2 linked regions of the Drosophila melanogaster genome follow. The main gene of each other region encodes a partner of the protein of the gene in region 2 in a complex. Each region holds a gene or a part of one and is shown on either strand. Other genes may lie near its edges. The genes, in order: EndoGI and EndoG. A codon is read from its position in the direction of its gene.

The links.
Region 1: the proteins of EndoG (region 2) and EndoGI are in contact, whole or in part, in a crystal structure (PDB 3ISM), measured with the Drosophila melanogaster proteins. Residues at the interface, in NP_610737.1 of Drosophila melanogaster: Arg124 (codon at 1,488), Cys127 (codon at 1,479), Asp128 (codon at 1,476), Phe129 (codon at 1,473), Lys130 (codon at 1,470), Gln131 (codon at 1,467), Pro137 (codon at 1,449), Arg140 (codon at 1,440), Gln142 (codon at 1,434), Asn143 (codon at 1,431), Thr144 (codon at 1,428), Tyr146 (codon at 1,422), Arg147 (codon at 1,419), Arg148 (codon at 1,416), Asp152 (codon at 1,404), Arg153 (codon at 1,401), Phe173 (codon at 1,341), Gln184 (codon at 1,308), Asn187 (codon at 1,299), Arg188 (codon at 1,296), Asp189 (codon at 1,293), Asn192 (codon at 1,284), Ala196 (codon at 1,272), Arg199 (codon at 1,263), Ala235 (codon at 1,155), Asn271 (codon at 1,047); in NP_001260489.1 of Drosophila melanogaster: Gln45 (codon at 1,619), Val46 (codon at 1,616), Asp47 (codon at 1,613), Ile49 (codon at 1,607), Val50 (codon at 1,604), Asp52 (codon at 1,598), Lys56 (codon at 1,586), Glu94 (codon at 1,472), Gly97 (codon at 1,463), Asp98 (codon at 1,460), Phe101 (codon at 1,451), Tyr102 (codon at 1,448), Ser141 (codon at 1,331), Arg142 (codon at 1,328), Asp143 (codon at 1,325), Ser144 (codon at 1,322), Asp145 (codon at 1,319), Leu146 (codon at 1,316), Phe147 (codon at 1,313), Asp148 (codon at 1,310), Ser149 (codon at 1,307), Asp150 (codon at 1,304), Asp151 (codon at 1,301), Arg174 (codon at 1,232).

What each region holds. Positions count from the first base shown.
Region 1 is NT_033779.5:16,255,680-16,259,933, reverse strand, and holds EndoGI (endonuclease G inhibitor), read right to left. Parts: upstream 2,247-4,254; 5' UTR 2,169-2,246; intron 1,930-2,168; exon of another isoform or gene 1,898-1,929; 5' UTR 1,821-1,897; coding exon 1,755-1,820; intron 1,686-1,754; coding exon 672-1,685; 3' UTR 501-671; downstream 1-500.
Region 2 is NT_033778.4:12,176,617-12,180,119, forward strand, and holds EndoG (endonuclease G), read right to left. Parts: upstream 1,938-3,503; 5' UTR 1,858-1,937; coding exon 925-1,857; 3' UTR 814-924; downstream 1-813. Other genes in the region: CCT5 (chaperonin containing TCP1 subunit 5), read left to right, coding at 1-102, 162-700; CG8860 (uncharacterized protein), read right to left, coding at 2,971-3,177.

The sequences.
Region 1 (4,254 bases), on a different chromosome or scaffold from region 2:
GTCAGTGTATGTAATAGTTTCAAAATTAATTAAAGTTCATTTTTGTGTTCGGAATTTAAAAGTTAACTTAAGAAAGTATTTCATATTTTATTTTAGTATTTAAGCATAATAATCTAACCATTGGATTTAAGAACTTCAAAGGAAATTACGAAAATTGTCTATGTATGAATACAAACTATGCTGAAACTATTTATGTGGATTCCACCTACATCGGTCAACTTTTATTAAAAGTATCTAAAAACAATCATTTAATACACAATTTAAAAGTTTTAGGATGCATAATGCTTAATTAGAACAGGAGATGTAAGAATACTCATAAAATATTTCAAGAAAATTCGTGATACAAATTTTAAATCAAATGAAGAAAAATGTTCCTTAATTTATATGCTATTATAGTTTATATATATTACAAAATTTTAAATGCTTTAAGCTATTGAAGAAATATGAAGAGAACAAATAATTTGTTACTGATCGAGATAATAAAAAGGACCACTATTTTTGAGAACAGTTATAAAATACTTATCATTTTATTCATTTTTAAACAATTTCTAACATTTCGAAACATAATTCAGATATTGAAATGCTTTACTGTGTGTGCCTTCAGAGATTACGACCAGAATAGGTGTTTTAGTACATAAGGAAACAATCCTTCAGTCATGAAAGATGCACTACTAATCATCATTTACAGGTCCTTCAAAGGGAGCCTTGCAACCAGCCTTTTCGTAAAACTCGAATGGCAGCGGATCCTCGTTGTCGTAATAGTCGGAATCGCGGGCGCAACTGGGACCAAGTTCCATTTTCACCATCTTGTCGCGCCAAAAGTCGAGAAGCTCTTTGGTGAGAACCTCATCCCTCAGATTGAAAATCCAACTGTTGTAGTCGTCGGGCCCATAGAAACCAGCATCACCCTTGTACTCCTGCAGCAGCTCGGCGGCCTTGTTTTGATCCTCCGCTGAGGGTGTGCCATCGAAGAGCAGCTTCCAGATTATCTCCCTGGCGGCTGCCGCTATCTTCTTCACGCTGGCCTGGTGAACGCTGTCCGGAACGATGATTTTGGTCAGAACAAAGCGCTTCATTAGAGTTCGGTATTCCTCGAGCGGATTTTCCTTGGTCAGGGTGGCCTCAAATTCGCCAGACAGAGCGGCGGCATCATCGGCACTCAGTTCACCCGGAGTTGTAGGCGTCGCTGGCCCATCCTGATCCAGCGAAGCCTGCTCCTCGAGTGCTGCGCGCACCTTTAAGCTGGCTGCAAATGGAGCGGTACAACCGGCATGGGCATAGAACTCCAATGGCGGGGTGTCGTCGCTGTCAAAGAGATCACTGTCGCGTGACCAACAGGGACCGAGTTGCTTCTTCACCAGCACATCGCGCCAAAAGTCGAGGAGTTCCTTCTTTAGAACCTCATCCCTCAGCTTGACAATCCATTCGTTGTACGGCGTCGGGTCGTAGAAGCAGGCGTCACCACGGTATTCCTCCAGCAATTGGCTGGCCTTCTCTGTGTTCGATTGCGAGGTACCGGCCTCGTCGAATAACAGCCGCCAGATGACGTCACGCGCCGCTGCAGCCGTTCGATCGAAATTCTCCTTGGTGACATCATCATCCACGATTTCGTCTACCTGCACGCGTGTTTCGATAAGCTTTTGGTAATCCTTAACGGGATCCACCAGGCCAATGGTGTAATCGTTCTGTCCAGACAATAGTTGTTATTGTTTGTAAACTATTTTTGTTTATTTTCTATGGCTGTTGCTTATTACCTGTGCTACTTTCTCGGCCGTTGCCATTTTGTCGGATTGTGTGTCCTCGGCCTTGCGCTTGGACATTCCCCTCTGGATAAATTGGCGATTTAAGGTTCTTCGAAGTAAAGCGTTTAAAATCGTTGGGCTATTGATCGTCACTTCTGTCGGAAAGAGATAAGATGACTAATTCAGATCGCCGCTTGCTGTTGCGATACTACGAATGTAAATAGTAGGGTAGTTCTTTTCAATAGAGAATAATTTTAATTGGAATATTCTCGGAAGGACAGACCAAGAATCAAAATAAGACGACTTATTGGATGAATAAGAAAAGAAAGTATGTGACATATTGAAAATATTATATATTTTATGTCGGTTTATAAATAAATATATATGTATATATATTGTACAACTTCCTTTAAAATCACATCTTACATTTAAAATAAAAAAAACTGTTTTTAAAAGACAATTGCAAAATAGGTAATTAAATTATTACAAAAAAGTATCGATTCTGCCCGCAATCGATGTTTATCTAACACTTAATTGCACTCGATACTATCGGCTCTATCGAGTGTTCGAGATTATCGAATATAATCACCATCCGTGTCTACCAACACAAACGAGCGAATTGTTCGCAACGCCTACTTCGATTACAAGTACTTTGCTCTTGGAAATCGGTAGAAAAAATTGTGCAATCCGTGCTGGAAACTACAGATATTATTTTCGCCCGATTAATTCATGTCAAATTGATAGATTCATCTTATACCATTGGTTCCGCCCCGTGCTGACTGTGTTTGTGTGTGTGTGTGCGTGACAGACACAAAGAAATTTGAGGTTAAGCTGCAGATGAATTTTGCGTTAATGTCGCTGAAAAACCAAAGTTTAACAATCCTATTCAATAAAAAACACTTAAGCTAAAGATACAATCAATTTACAGTTGCAATAAGAGCAATAGTTGTGTCGTAAAAGGCAACACACACCAGCCAATTGCATTCGTGGAATTCGTGTCGGTGAGAGTCTCGCGGTGCGTCTGTGTGTGCGTGTGGACGTGAATTCAATTTTCTCGTGCACGAAAAGCAACGAAAAAGCTTCAAAAGTTATACTCAAATGTGTATGGCAATTGTGGTAAGTGCGGCAGGGGATCGGCTACAGCCGCAAGTTTTTAAATAATACATTTTTGTTGCATAAATTGTTTCGAACGTCAACGAACACTCGCACAACTACTGAGCCACAAAGTATGTGTGCTTGTGTGCGTGCGTTGGCATTTACATTCAATTTTTTTCGTTTAAACAATTTCTAACTGGATTTTGTTTGTTTTATTCGAAAAATAGTCTTAAAAAACATGTTGGCATTAGAAATAGTTTCTGGAATTTGTTTAAATTTTTTTTTAGTATATATCAACCAGTTACATTTTTATTTGTCTGTGCAAAAACTATAAACAATTGTCATCTTGTAAAACTAGAATATGTTATAAACTAATTGTGTTTACGTTTTTTATAAATATGAATGTGAACTTTTTAAATGTATTCTTCTCAAAATACCAACAAATCTGTGTAATTGCTATGAATAATATTCTTTTCTTCGCAATCAAATTAATCGAATTGCAAATTCTGCTGTGCTTGCATAAAAAACGTTAAGGAAAGTAATGTAATGTCCCATTTGTTATCATACACAACAATCATATACTTCAATAAATGGGTAACTTCACGCATTTTACTTTCATTCGACCCAGTTACCTGGTTAACTGCCTTCGCCAGTTGAAAATAAATGTCAGCTGACCCAGTTTTACCATCCGAACGGAACTAGGACGGGACCAAAACTATTTTGCACTGCACCAGTTAAAGTTTATTTCTCTTATTTTTTTTGGCAGTTTTTATCATCTTCATACGTCATTTGCTAGGTACATACACGTAGATTCTAATCTAATATCTAATCTGTTGAAGACATTTCGAGCAGATTTATATCATATCAAAGCGGCAGAGCAAACAGTAAACAAAAGACATGGCCGAGAGAAATTGTTTTTTTTAGAACAAAACAGCCAAATCAGTTGGCATTTTATACTGAACAAATGTGGACGGAGCAAAGTTGTAGTGCAAAAAGATTGCCTTCGTTCATAGCTTTCAATTTTACAATCAGTTGTTACTCAACAAGGTTTGGCTGTGATTTGCTGTTATCTCGAATTTTCGCATTTTTTCCACCTGTGTTTATCTTGATCGCACTGTTTGCTAATCGATATCAGCAAATTGCGTCAATTGGTATTGAAAGCGGTATAAGCGGTATAGAAATGGAACCTGGCAACTGAAACTGTCCCATACGCACCAAAGGAATATCAATTATACGCCAACCGGTGGTTGAAAATCCCAACGATATCCATTTTTTAACCGGTTCTCTTGTCAGATTTCTTGTGCTCTCTCCCTTTTATTTCCGTTTGGGGTCTCTTGTCCTTGAACAAGTTCAATGATAGTGCCCCGGCCACGGCAATACAAACAAAAGAAAGAAAAGAATCTCTTTCGGTTTCATT
Region 2 (3,503 bases):
AGATCGAGCTGATTGCCATCGCCACCGGTGGACGCATCGTGCCGCGTTTCGAAGAGCTCACGCCTGAGAAACTAGGTGTTGCGGGACTCGTTCGCGAAATGGGTAGGTTTTCATTTTATAGTCGGATTTAGTTCATTCCTAAGTGATTTTGATTCTTTCAGCATTCGGAACATCCAAGGACAAGATGCTGGTCATCGAGGAGTGCAAAAACTCCAAGGCTGTGACCATCTTCTTGCGTGGAGGTAACGCCATGATCATTGCGGAGGCTAAGCGATCGATTCACGATGCCATCTGCGTGGTGCGTTCGCTTGTGAAGGACTCGCGTATTGTTTACGGTGGTGGAGCTGCCGAGATTAGCTGCTCGTTGGCTGTGGCCAAGGAGGCCGACCAACTGTCCACGCTGGAGCAGTACGCCTTCCGCGCCTTCTCCGTGGCCCTGGAGAGCATTCCGCTGGCTCTGGCGGAGAACAGCGGCCTGCATCCCATCGAGACGTTGTCGGAGCTGAAGGCCAGACAGGTGGCCGAGAAGAAGTCCAGCCTGGGTGTCGACTGCATGCTGTCGGGTGATTCGGACATGAAGAGCCATAACGTGGTGGAGTCGCTGCACTCGAAGAAGCAGCAGATTCTGCTCTCCACGCAGCTCGTCAAGATGATACTCAAGATCGACGACGTGCGCTCCAAGAACGAAGGCGGCATGTAACGACCGCCCAGCAGCAGCATCATACATCAGATCTAGTTTCAGATTCACATCCCCACGCTTCGCTATCTCTTCACGAACAACACCCGCGTCAAGCCTCATCTCTATGTACATCTGTATTAATTGTTTAATTTTATTAATCCACAAGTTCTTTGGAAAAGAAGAAAATTACATTAAACAAGGGGCTATCCCTGTTCAAATACACTAAAACGAAACTAAGACATCGACTAGACTTTCTTGCCATTGATGGTGGTTAGCTGCTTGCGATTGATTTGATCGAAGAAGAGCAATCCCGCCGAGCGTTCCACGCTCTCTGGCGGCACCTGAAACACACTGATGGGAGTGTCGTTGCTGATCACCTGATTGGGCATCACGTACGACTCCATGTGGAGTTTGTGGTCCGCGGACTCGCCCACAATAACCTTGTAGAAGTGGGTGGGAACAGCCACGGTGTTGGCGCCGATGACCTCGTACTTGACATACGATTTCCCATCGTCCTCCTTGTGCGGTAGGTACAGTGGACCCGTACAGACGTACACATTGGAGTAGGTCTTGGTCAGTCTGCGCACGTGTGCCTCCAGCGTGTTCCAGGCATCCCGGTTGAAGCCCTGGCCCACCTGTGGCGCCATGTTCGATAGGTAGAAGGTTTCGTCGCAGTGCTTCTGGTGCAGTCGGTGATTTCCAGCGGCGGCCATGTGCCCGCGATCATAGCCCGATCGTCGGTAGTCCGTGTTCTGTGACCTGAAGAACGGATGGATGCTCTCGTCCTGCTTGAAATCGCACTTCGATCTGTCCACGGCATCGTTCTTCGCCACCGACTCTGCCGTAAGGTGCTCGAACACCCAGTGGGGCACCCGGTTCCTCCGATCGTAAGACAGCACGTAGTCCGAATGGGAGCGCACGTGATCGAGTCCGGGAAATCCATACTTCATGATCTGTCCGATCCGAGACGGAGTTGCCGTCAAGCTTACATTGTTCTCTTGGGCGGGAATCAAACTGGCAGCCGAAACAGTTCCAAAGGTGGGCAGACCAGGCAGCCGCGGAAGGCCACTTGTGGAGCCATTGTGCTGGCGTTCGCGTTCCACGTGGGTGCCCAGATAAAAGGCGCCCAGGGCGGTGGCACCCAAAGCTAATACGCCACCCACTCGAGGAGCACTCATTTTGGCAGTTTTATTTAAAAATCTGGACAAAAAGACCAGATAGCGACCGCTATTGCACAATTCAGGTACTTTAGTGTGACCACAGTTTAAAGTGGTCGAACGAACTACAGTGAAAGACATAAATATATGCACGGATTGCTAAATTTGCTTGGGAAAATAAGTAAGTATACTATGTATATTTCATTAATGTATTAATAACTTAAAAAGGCGACGTGTGAGCTTTAACCGTAGCCCAAGTCGCAAATGGTGGTACTTACCAATTCCATATAGATAGATGGGCTTCGTGAACAGCAAGATATCCGAGCTCGAATAACTCGTCGTGGCAGTTCAAAATTCCAGGGCTGGATATCCCCTCGTCTTATGTGCTCTAATACACACTCGGCGTGTAGCAGGTTGTAAGAAATTCGCGTTTAAAATCAAATAACTTAGTGGGCGCTGCCATGTTTTAAAATTTATTCGATAACCGATCCCCGACTTAAAAGGAAAAGTGTGACCATCAATTTATAAAATTTAGCTTATATTTTGTAAAAAAATTGTTGCTTCTTTGTTTAGGAATTTTTAAGAAAAAGCAATTGTGTCGCAGAACAAAACGATGGCTAAAACAGTAATTTTAAAAAGGCATACAACACATATAAAATTATTTTTAAGGTTAAAGAAAGATTTTTATAACAGAATTAAAATCTTCTAATTTTAAAGCAATATTAGGCGAACCCAAATACATGCCATTGTACAATGTAGAATTTAATGTTAAATCATCTCTATGTTAAAATAACAAAATATAAACATTGTCAATTGGAAGAACGATTCAAAATAAGCAACTCGACCTAGATGAATGAAATAGTACAATACATGCCATTTTGTTGCTGAATGATAAGCTAAGATTTTGTTGAATTTTGGCTTAGTTGCATTCGGAAATATATTTACAACATTTTGAGCACACCCTCCAAGCACCCAATTTATAACCAGACTTTCTTATCTCAAACCCAAGCCAAAGATATTACATTGTATTGTGTGTATAAAATCCGAAGAAGGGGCATTTATTTCGCTAAAGATGCGCGTGGAATCGTGAACTACATGTAATCTCTTTCCGGTCCGGGGGCCACCTGCCGCTTTCTAGGATCCCACGATGATGTTGTTAATGGGAATGTGAATCAGCTTGACGAAGAAGCCGATGAAGCCCATGATGGCGAAGCCCACGGCGGTGGCGATGGCGATTTTCTGGAACTCCTTGCGGTCGGGTTTTGTGCAGCGCTTCACCAGGCGGATTGAGTCCTTGGCGAAGGCGCGTCCGGGTTCGGCGAATTTGACAACCTTGTCCATTTTTGATTTGTGAGTATTTAACTAAGAATTACCAATGAACTGAATTGATATTTATTTTGCTGCCGTGTCGCTTCTTGCAGTGTTACCAAGTTCCTCAGCTCAAAACATACTAAAAATTAACGCCTTTCCTTTAGTTGTTAATAAATTTTTTTTTTGGTTGAAATATAAGTGTATTTGAATTATTTTAATTTATTTTGAGTTTTTCTTTAAATTGAACCCATTCAATTATTACTTTGAAGCAAATCATTTAATGAACAGTTTTTAACAATTGATTTGGGCACACTACCCTACCCTAGCGTCGATGGAGGAACGGTGGATTTTTGAAC